3 linked regions of the Oryctolagus cuniculus genome follow. The protein of the gene in region 3 purifies or fractionates together with the protein of the main gene of each other region. This does not show direct contact. Links are inferred from orthologs where the notes say so. Each region holds a gene or a part of one and is shown on either strand. Other genes may lie near its edges.

Region 1 (3,747 bases), on a different chromosome or scaffold from region 3:
CCTGAGGTCTACCGTGGCAATACCTGGTCAGCCTGAACCACGACACGGAGCGCACGGCCCGCAGAGCCACCTCGCAGCCCCGGCCCGCGCCTCCCGGCTCGACCTCAGAACCTCGGAAGTGCACCAGCGTCTCGGGGGCCATCTCAGACCCAGCAGGCCCGAGACTGTGCACGCGGCCCCCGGCCCGGCCGTCCTCAACCACGGGGACGCCGGGACCCTGCCCTCCGCCCGCCCGGCTCAGAAGCCGAGAGAGGCTGGCACGGCCCCCAGCCCCGCTCCCAGCCCCCCCTCACCTGTTTGTGCATCTCGATGTTGAGGCCGTAGGACATCTCATAGTACTGCGGGGAGAGGGCAGCTCAGGGACCCGGGTCTACAGGAGCCCCCGGCCGGGGAGAGAGCAGCTCAGGGACCCGGGTCTACAGGAGCCCCCGGCCGGGGAGAGGGCAGCTCACGGACCCGGGTCTACAGGAGCCCCCGGCCGGGGAGAGGGCAGCTCAGGGACCCGGGTCTACAGGGGCCCCCGGCCGGGGAGAGAGCAGCTCAGGGACCCCGGGTCTACAGGAGCCCCCGGCCGGGGAGACGGCAGCTCAGGGACCCCGGGTCTACAGGAGCCCCCGGCCGGGGAGAGAGCAGCTCAGGGACCCGGGTCTACAGGAGCCCCCCGGCCGGGGAGAGAGCAGCTCACAGACCCGGGTCTACAGGAGCCCCCGGCCGGGGAGAGGGCAGCTCAGGGACCCGGGTCTACAGGGGCCCCCGGCCGGGGAGAGGGCAGCTCAGGGACCCCGGGTCTACAGGAGCCCCGGCCGGGGAGAGGGCAGCTCAGGGACCCCGGGTCTACAGGAGCCCCCGGCCGGGGAGAGAGCAGCTCAGGGACCCGGGTCTACAGGAGCCCCGGCCGGGGAGAGGGCAGCTCAGGGACCCCGGGTCTACAGGAGCCCCCGGCCGGGGAGAGAGCAGCTCAGGGACCCGGGTCTACAGGAGCCCGAGGCTGGGGGAGGGGCACAGCAGGACAGGGCCCCCAGCAGAGACCCCCCTGAGTGGGGGAGGGGGCAGCCTGGGGTCAGTGCCCCCTGGTCTCCCTGGAGTGACCCTGAGAGACAGCCCAGGGCACAGGTGGGGGCGAGAGGAGGCCGAGAGCCGGGGGGGCCCTCACCATGACGAGGAGCTGGGGGGGGACCCTCACCATGATGAGGAGTGGGGGGGACCCTCACCATGACGAGGAGCGGGGGGGACCCTCACCATGACGAGGAGGGGGGGGACCCTCACCATGATGAGGAGCTGGGAGGGCCCTCACCATGATGAGGAGCTGGGGGGTCCATCACCATGACGAGGAGCTGGGGGGACCCTCACCATGACGAGGAGCTGGGGGGGCCTCACCATGACGAGGAGGGGGGGGACCCTCACCATGATGAGGAGCTGGGAGGGCCCTCACCATGACGAGGAGCAGGGGGAGACCCTCACCATGACGAGGAGGGGGGGCCCTCACCATGACGAGGAGGGGGGGCCCTCACCATGACGAGGAGCGGGGGGGGGCCTCACCATGATGAGGAGCGGGGGGGGGCCCTCACCATGACGAGGAGCGGGGGGGGGCTCACCATGACATAATGCCGCTGCATCTCCGTCTTCTCGCTGGCCAGCTTCTCGCACTCCAGCTTGAGACTGCGAGGACACGGGGTGCGGGGTCCCCCAGCACCCCGCGGGGGGGCCAGTTTCCAAAGTGCGGCCTGGGTCTCCCCTCCTCCTCGCCACCCCTCCCTGACCTCAGAGCCCCCCCACACCGCACCTCACCTGCCTCCCCAGCCCGGCCCCGCCCCTCCAGGTGCACCCCGCGCCCCCTGCCCGCCCCTCCCCCGCACCTGTGGTACTGTGCCTGCAGGAACTGGAATTCCTCTTTGATGCGGTCACAGATCTCCAGGATGGAGAACTTGAAGGGCTGGCCCGACTGGAGCGGGGTCTGGGGGAGGGGTTAGGGCAGGGGGGACGTCAGGGTCCCGGGCGCCGGGGACTCCCCCGCCGCCGCCCGAGGCCCCCCACTCACCGGGTGCCTGCCCTGGGGGTACATCCTGCAGCGCTGAGACGCACCCCCCGCGCCGGACAATATGGGGAGGGGGCGCGGGGCGACCGCGGCGGGTTGGGGGGGGGGGTCCGGGGAAAAAGCGGGAGGGCGACAGAGCGCGCGGGGCAGCGCCCGGGAGTCCCTGGCGGGCGCCCCCGCGAGCGGCCCGGGTGGCGGGGACGAGCGGCGGCGCGGGGCGCGGAAGGTCGGGGCGCGGGCGCAGCCGGGTTTCGGCGGCGGTGGCGGCGCGGGCGGCGCGGGCCCCGCGCGGAGCCGCCTCCCTCCGGCGGGGCTCGGCCGGGAGCCGCGGGCAGAGCCGCTTAAGGTGGCGCCGCCGCCCCCGCCCCGCCCGCGCGGCGCGGCGCCCCCGCCCCCGCCAGCCCCGCAACAACTTTGCCCTCCCACCCGCAACCCCGGGACCCCTCTCTGCTCCCTGCCCGGTGGGGACGCTGGCGCCCCGCACCCACCCACCTACCCGCCCGCCCACCCGCCGCCAAGGCCGGGAGCGGAAGAGCCGAGAAAACAGACGCCCAGGCCCGGAGCGGGAGCAGCCGCGAGGGCAGGGGGCGTCCGGGGTGGGCGGCCCTGGCCTCAGGTGTCAGGGCCTTGGTGGGGGGAGGGGGACACCTGCCAGGCCAGGGGCGCTCACGCGGGGCTGGGCTGGGACCAGAGCCAGTTGCTGGCCCCCCACGGCCTCACTGTTCCCCCCTCCTCACCCGCTGTCTTTAAGTCAATCCTTAAGTCAATCAACAAACACGCAGGGAGCCCACCTGCAGCTCCAGGAACTGGGGCACAGCCCACAAGGCTGCCCTGGGCCGTGTACTGGGCCGGTGAGGGCGCCGGGGCCCAGGCCCTCACCTGCAGGCGGCCTCTTTCTCTGGGGCCGGCCGTGCTCAGCCCTCAGCCGCTGCCTGCTCCCCCCACCCCGCCTGCTGGGGCCCCTGCACCAGCGAGGGCCACCTCGGGGAGTCCCAGGCTCCTGCCCAGGCCACTGTGGCCATCTGGGGAGTGACCCGGCACAGGGAAGGTCTGGGGCTCCGTAGGTCTCCTTTCACAGAACTTTTTTTTTTTTTAAGATTTAATTTATTTGAGAGGTAGAGTTACAGACAGAGAGAGGCAGAGTTGGAGAGAGGAGAGGTCTTCCATCCGCTGGGTCACTCCCCACTTGGCCGCAACGGCCGGAGCTGAGCTGATCCAGAGCCAGGAGCCAGGAGCTCCATCCGGGTCTCCCACGCGGGTGCAGGGGCCCAAGCACTGGGGCCATCTTCTACTGCTTTCCCGGGCCACAGCAGGGAGCTGGATGGGAAGTGGAGCAGCCGGGACTCGAACCCGCTCCCACATGGCACTGCAGGCCGGGGCTTTACCCGCTGGACCACAGCGCCGGCCCCTAAGGCATCTTTCTTAAGCCATGGCCAGATATCCTCTCGTAGCTGTCCCAGGTCCCGTCCAGGCGCCAGGGAGACCGGACGGACGAGGGACAGGACTCCTGGCCGCCCCGCTCTGGGGCAGTCCTGGGACAGAGCAGGCGGGAGTGCCCGTGGCCGCGTGGCTGCGTGGCCGCTACACAATCGTGTGGGCAAAGGGAGAGCTCGGGGAGGCGGGGTTGGCTGGGAGGGGGCTGACACGGGCAGGGAGAGGTGGGGAGGCCGCGGGAGTGCGGGGCAGAGGCTCCCTGCCCGGCGGGTGCGCCT
Region 2 (3,581 bases), on a different chromosome or scaffold from region 3:
TCCTTGAGTAGAGAGAATTTGCCTCTGGCCTCAGGTTCTCTCATTAAGCATGGATAAACACTTTGCCATCTCCATGTGTAACACATGGGAAGGAATTTTTTTTAATCCTTCCAGAGTTACAGGCAAAAATAAATAAAGTTTAAATTGAAAAGCTACTAAGGTACTCAACTGAGAAAATATTTCAACAGAGAAATATACATACATATGAGGGCTTCAAAAAATTCATGAAAAATGTGTATTATGAAAAACTATACAAGGGTCTCAAAAAATCTTTTTGCACCAAAATAGATTTATCTTCTAATTTTATCATACCACAAACTTTTTAGACTGAACTCCTATGTGTCTTCAACAATACGTTGATGTGAGCAAAAAATGAATGTTATATTGGGCTACACTTAAAAAATATTTAGCTGCAGGGCCAAATAAAGTATATTTGACATTAACGTTAAACATGTAGCTAGGTTCTCTGTGTCTTCCTTTGAGAACTGCTGCAGCCCCGCTGTGACTGCTCCTAACTAGTTGCTAAGACAGGAGACCAAATGCACAGCTGCCCACATGGCAACACCCGGCCAGCAAACAAGCACTCTCAGTAACAGAAAAACCCCCTCCCCGGCCCTCATACGCCCCTTACCATCTCGAGTCAAGTTCATGCCGCCGAACACCAGTGGGCCAACAAACTGAGCCTTGATCTCGCCTTCCAGGTACACGAATACCGTGGGCAGATTCCTATCTGGATAATTGGGTATGCAGGTTGTTGAAATGGCTTTGATGAACTTCACATCAGGAAACTTCCTGGCAAGTGCGCTGAAGTGCTGATTTATCAAGGCACAGAGGGGAATCCTGGAACACACAAACAGAATGCAGAGGCACTGGTGATTCCACTACCGGCCAAGACCAATCAGCACTTCCTAATATGTCCATGTGAAGTGAAGAACTTGAAACCCAAAGTCCAATTTCATTTGATACAACAACAGCTCAGGAAAACAGTGTCAGCATAAAAGACAACTGCTATGGCCTTCCATAAGGTCGAATGAGAGAACACCAAAGATGCAGAATGTGTGAAACAGGCCAGAACATATTTCCTGCTTTAAGGAAATGCCACAAAAAGCACTGGGCTCTACAGGTTAGGAGCAGGACTGAGCGTGGAGGGAGGCTGGAGGCCCTCAGCACCACACGGCAGACAATGGCTGGGAGGTCACCTTCTCTGTCTGCAGGAACCATGAACTATAGAATTTGGAATTGCCGGAGTCCCAGGAATTCCTTTTCAGTGAAAGCAAACTGACTCTTCAACTATACTTTTTTTTTTTTTAATTTGAAAGGCAGAGTTATGGATAGAGGAGGAAAGATGGAGAGAGAGAGGTTTTCCATCTCTGGTTCACTCCCCAAATGGTCACAACGGCCAGGGCTAGGCCAGGCTGAAGCAAGGGGCCCAGTGCTGCTTCTGGGTCTCCCACATGCGTGCAGGGGTCCAAGCGTCCAGGCCATCCTCTGCTGCTCTCCCAGGCGCATTGGCAGGGAGCTGAATCAGAAGCAGAGCAGCCGGGTCTCAAACTGGCACCCATTTGGGATGCTGGTGTTGCAGGCGGAGGCTTAACCCACTATGTCACAACGCCAGCCCCTTCTTTGCTATATTTTTACAGAGACAATTGCATTGAGTCACAGATATTAATTTGGTAGTCAAGATAAAAATTAGGCATTAAAGCTTTAGTAAATGAGCAACAAAAACACATAACACTAATAAACAACGACAAATACCAGAATATGGAATAAGCTTGATATGGATTCAACATATAAATTAAAATTCACATGTTCTAGAACACAAAAGATGATCAGCTCACCCTTGTTTGTAAAGGTGCAAGATTACCCACAAGCCCTCACCAGCTTTGGTAACTTCTTGGACATAATCTTTTCCTGAAATCTCCAAAACTTCTCCAAATTTATTCTTTTCTTGAGTTGCTCTCCACTCGGCCAGTCTTTGCTGCCTGGACAACAGACAGAGAAAATATCTTCTAACACATGCACATATGTACGCATGCACAAATACACACACAAATAGCCATCTTCCACTGCCTTCCCAGGCGCATTAGCAGGGGAGTTGAGTCAGAAGTGGAACAGCCAGGACTCTAACTACCACTCATATGGGATGCTGGCAATACAGGCAGTGTGGCTCCATCCACTGTGCCACAACACCAGCCCCCAGAAAAGTAAATTTACAATGGATGCACATTTTACGGTATGGTAAAAATTACCACGCAAAAAACCTAAACGGTCCCTCTGAGTGGCACTAACCTGTACATTTCAATAGCACGTTCATCCTCTTCATTGAATTCGTCTTCATTATCTTCCAGTTCTTCCAATGTCATATCTTCATACGTCTTCACTGAATTTAGTTACAACAGCCAAAGCAAAAAAAACAAAAATTCAAGATGAACAAACATGCATTTTGGGTATTCCCCTTCGCTTTTCTCCTAAAGGTAAGCACACAATACCAGCAGGCCCCAGCTCACCAACATAAAGATTACTTACATCTCACTAGTGAATAAGACGTGGGGGGTGTTTTAAAAAGAAAAACCTGTGCGGACACCTACAGACGGGAGCATCTCACCCCCACACAGTGAGTGGATGGGTGAGAAATCTCCCAGGTTTACAAAGCCCGAAGTCCCCTGGTCGGGCATATCCACTAGCGGCAGGTGTATCAACAATTCTACTACCCAAGGAGTCGGGGTGATGGCAGCAGGGGACCTTCCCACACACACTTTCCTGGAGTTAAAGGTGACCGTCATGTATTTCTTGGCCATGTCTTCTGTGTGGCAGGCAACTCTATCCTTTCTTGTAATGAACTGGTATAAAATCAGCATCTCATTTTTACTGTCACTCCTGCTTGACAGCAAACCTGGCTTTCGCTGTGCCTCCAACAAAACTCTCATCCAGGTCAACAACCTCATTCCCTGATGACGAGCGGCACCTGATCCAAGCCGTCCCGGCCTCCCCTGGCTTCCAGGAGGCCCCGTTCTCCTCCTGCCCCTACAGCTGTGCCCACTGTGAACCTTCTGCTGATGACAAGTGCTCAGGGTTCAATTCTTTGACTCAGCTTCTATGCCTGCACCCTCAGTGACTACTCCTAGGGGCTTTGTGTGTTTTCGGTACACTCACAACTCCTAAAGTCACATCCCCAGCTCACACTTCTCTGAAAACACACCCAACCACCTGCTTAGCCCCTCTACTTGTTCCGTGAGACTCTCAAAGTTAACATGTCCCAAACAGAGTCTCCATCTTCCTGCAAACCTGCTCCTCTCCAAGCCTTCATCTCAGTTGGTGGCAACTCCACCCTTCAGGTTGCTCAGGCACTAAGGCGTGCAGTCACTCTAACTGCAGTGGTCTGAACAAGATCTGGCTTCCTAATTCATGCAGCTGTTGAAATCCCAAACTCATAATAGCACTAGGAGGGTGGAAACTTAAACCACTTATGGTGTATAGAAGGTAGGTCCAGTGAGTGGGAAGTCCGTAGGCCCCTGGAAGGTCGTTTTTCCAAGAGGACTGGTTATAAAAGTCGAGTCGGGCCCAGCCACGCCTCTTCCTGG
Region 3 (3,647 bases):
CATAAACCATGCCCTCAGCAATTTTAAGTACTTACAAACAGATGATCAGAAAATACCTTTGTGAAAAATAATTATGAACTACAAACAGGTGGTCTGCAATACCTGCATCCATATTCCACTTTAATATTATATAATTAAACTCTCTAGATAACTTGTACAAAGGGGTTCTAAGGCCAAACTTGAAAGCTGAATCTAAATTCGGTTTATTCCACAGATTCCTTACCAATTTAAAAAGGTTTATATTGCAGACAGCTTCATTTTTAATTAGCTGTAATATATTCATACATTCTAAAGCTAATAGGAAAAAAAAGACATTTTTCAAGGATACTTTAACATCTCTAACATATGATGGTAAACAAGTACTCCTTTGAATACAATTGGAACTGTGCTATATTCAAGTTCTGTGAAAATTTCCTCTTGAACCATAAAAAACTAGCTTAAAGATCTAAATTTCACTTTTTGCTCACCTGATCCACTCTAAGTACAGTGACTGCAGCATTCGTAGCCAGTTTGATAGCCCAGTATTTTCCTAGATAAGTATCTAAAATACCGGCTTCCAACATGTCTTTTACAGCAGGAACTTCAGCCTGTTAACACAAAACAATTTTCATCCTTCATTATAAATTAAGTGAAACTGCTTACACTCAATAACAAAACCTCATGGCTCTTTAAACTGTACTAAAAAATAACTAAGGGTGGGCATTTGGCCTACTGGTTAATACTCTTGCCTCCCTTACTGGTGTGCCCTGGTTTGCATTTCCAGCTAAGGAAGACCTTGAGAAGCAGGGATGGATCAAGTGATTGGCTGTTGAAGGCAACTGGGGGAATGAACTGGCAGATGGGAGCTAGCTATCTCTCAAATAATTCAACATTAAGATGGAAAACATTAATAAATAAATGTGCATAAAATAGAAATATACGATAAATATACATAATATGTAACTACATATTGGAGTGCCTGGTTCAAGTCCCAGTTACCACATTTCTAATACAGCTCCCAGCTAATGCTCACCCTAGGAGGCAGTAATTACTACTTCAAATACTTGGGGCCCTGACACTCATGTGAATTATATTCTGGGCTCCTGGCTTCTGCCTGGCCTATCCCTGACTATTGTGGGCTTGTGGGGAGTGAACCACTGAAAACAGTCTCTGCCTTTCAAAAAAACTGAAATTTCTATTACTGCTTCCATTTTTAGTTTAAGCATTCACAAAATAAAACAATAATATATAGTTTTTTTTTCCCTTAAATACCTCAATGTCTAATCCAACATTTTTATTTCCTTCTTGATGGACTGCATAGAGTTTAGAGATTACTTCATTGGCCTTAACTCCTGAGTTTTCTGCCAGAGCTCGGGGAATAGCTTCAAACGCCTCAGCAAACTTCTTTATAGCATATTGTTCAAGTCCAGGACATGTCTAAAACAAAACAATTATAATTGCCATTTTATTCAGGTAATGTAAAGTCAGTCAAGATATACAGAAAAAGCTATACCTCTCCATATGATGTGATCTGTTTGGCCAATTCGATCTCTGTTGCTCCACCTCCAGGGACAAGACGTTTATCCTATAAGTAGCCCAAACAAATTAATCAATCAAAAATGTCACTACATAAGAAACAACGAAATCCAGTCATTTGCAACAAAATGGAGGAATCTGGAACACATCATGCTGAGTGAAATAAGCCAGTCCCAAAGGGACAAATACCATATGTTCTCCCTGATCGGTGACAACTGACTGAACACCAAAAAGGAAACTTGTTGAAGTGAAAGGGACACTATGGGAAACGGTGACTTGATCAGCATAGCCCTGACTGTTAATGAACAACTTAATACATTATCCCTCTTAGTAGTTTTTTTGTCTGTTCTACTTAATATGACTGATTTAATTCTGTAATTAATACACAGTTATTCTTAAGTGTTGAAATTTAACTGAAATGTGATCCCTGTTAAACATAAGAGTAGGAATAAGAGAGGGAAGAGATATATAATTTGGGACATGCTCAAGCTGACTTGCCCCAAATGGTAGAGTTAGAAACATACCAGGGGACTCCAATTTAATCCCATCAAGGTGGCATGTACCAATGCCATCTCACTAGTCCAAGTGATCAATTTCAGTTCGCAATTGATCATAATGAAAGGACTAAGAGTCAAAGGGAGCACATAAGCAAGTCTAGTACCTGCTAACACTAACCGATAGAATAAATAAAGGGGAGAGTGATACAACATGGGAAGTGAGATACTCAGCAGACTCATAGAATGGCAGATGCCCTAAATAGCACTCTGGCCTCAGAATCAGCCCTAAAGGCACTCGGATCTGGCTGAAAAGCCCATGAGAGTATTTCAGGCATGGAAAGCCAAGACACTCTGGCAAAAGATCTCTGTGAGTGAGATCTCAGTGGAAAGAACAGGTCTTCAAAGAAGGAGGTACCTTTCTCTGAAGGGAGGAGAGAACCTCCACTTTGACTATGACCTTGTCTAAACAAGATAAGAGTCGGAGAACTCAAGGGGCTTCCATAGTCTTGGAAACTCATGACTGGAGCATAGGGAGATTACTGATGCCATAGACAGGAGTGTCAATTGGTAAAGTCAACAACAGGAGTCACTGTGCACTTACTCCTCATGTAGGATCTCTGTCCTTAATGTGCTGTGCATTGAGATTTAATGCTATAACGAGTACTCAAATAATATATTGCACTTTGTGTTTCTATGGGGGTGCAAACTGTTGAAATCTTTACTTAATGCATACTAAACTGATCCTCTGTAAAAAAAAAAAAAAAAAAAAAAAAGAAAAGAAAAGAAAAGAAAAGAAACTATCAACTCCCACCTTGACTCTCACTGGGATTAAACATGACAATAGGTCTGATCTGATTTCATCATCATTAAAAAAAATCATCAATTATTTTTCACTTTATGTTTCTGTGTGGGAGCAAACTGTTGAAATCCTTACTTAATGTATACTAAGCTGATCTTCTGTATATTAAGATAATCGAAAATGAATCTTGATGTGAATGGAAGGGGAGAGGGAGTGGGAAAGGGGAGGGTTGTGGGTGGGAGGGACGGTATGGGGGGGAAGCCATAGTAATCCATTATTCGTACTTTGGAAACGTATATTCATTAAATAAAAGTTAAAAAAAAAAAAAAAAAAAGAATTTGAGGACTCATGGGAAATTTCTCAATAATTATTTCTCCAATTCTTATAAAGTACTATGTATTTGGTCCTTAGTATTTATTCTTTTCCATTTTTATTCTATTTCTGTTTACCCTCTTCTTTATACCCTGGATTTCATTCACTCCGGCAATAATAGTAACCAGGGACCATGACTCAAGAGCCCTTCAATAAATTATAAGTTTCCTCAAAAAAAAAAAAAAAAAAAAAAAAAAAAAAAAAGTCACTACAAAAAGAAAAGTCTGTTATTTGATTTTTTAAATTCCTGAACTCTAACCAGATTTGAGTTTCTAATCAGGAGCCATCACTCAAAATCTAATCACAAACTTGGCAAAATAAATAATAATAATAATAAAAAAAATCAGTGATCAGAGCAAATTTTCTTATTGTACAGTGTTTGATATATGGAAAAGGGGACCAAAGTAAAGAATGAGAAAAGCACTAAAACAAATGCTTAAGCGACTGAAGGTAAATCATAATTA

The links.
Region 1: the proteins of CCT8 (region 3) and TLE2 purify together in Homo sapiens (affinity purification with mass spectrometry; 3 studies listed by BioGRID and IntAct, with this or other methods). This does not show direct contact. The link is inferred for Oryctolagus cuniculus from reciprocal best matches to the Homo sapiens genes CCT8 and TLE2.
Region 2: the proteins of CCT8 (region 3) and PDCL3 purify together in Homo sapiens (affinity purification with mass spectrometry; 3 studies listed by BioGRID and IntAct, with this or other methods). This does not show direct contact. The link is inferred for Oryctolagus cuniculus from reciprocal best matches to the Homo sapiens genes CCT8 and PDCL3.

What each region holds. Positions count from the first base shown.
Region 1 is NC_091447.1:59,642,917-59,646,663, reverse strand, and holds the start of TLE2 (transducin-like enhancer protein 2), read right to left. Parts: upstream 2,322-3,747; 5' UTR 2,063-2,321; coding exon 2,039-2,062; intron 1,955-2,038; coding exon 1,857-1,954; intron 1,660-1,856; coding exon 1,596-1,659; intron 339-1,595; coding exon 294-338; intron 1-293.
Region 2 is NC_091433.1:108,022,776-108,026,356, forward strand, and holds part of PDCL3 (phosducin-like protein 3), read right to left. Parts: intron 2,381-3,581; coding exon 2,290-2,380; intron 1,983-2,289; coding exon 1,839-1,982; intron 841-1,838; coding exon 632-840; intron 1-631. UniProt on the Homo sapiens protein: Acts as a chaperone for the angiogenic VEGF receptor KDR/VEGFR2, increasing its abundance by inhibiting its ubiquitination and degradation.
Region 3 is NC_091435.1:16,585,240-16,588,886, reverse strand, and holds part of CCT8 (T-complex protein 1 subunit theta), read right to left. Parts: intron 1,565-3,647; coding exon 1,493-1,564; intron 1,417-1,492; coding exon 1,252-1,416; intron 588-1,251; coding exon 468-587; intron 1-467. UniProt on the Homo sapiens protein: Component of the chaperonin-containing T-complex (TRiC), a molecular chaperone complex that assists the folding of actin, tubulin and other proteins upon ATP hydrolysis.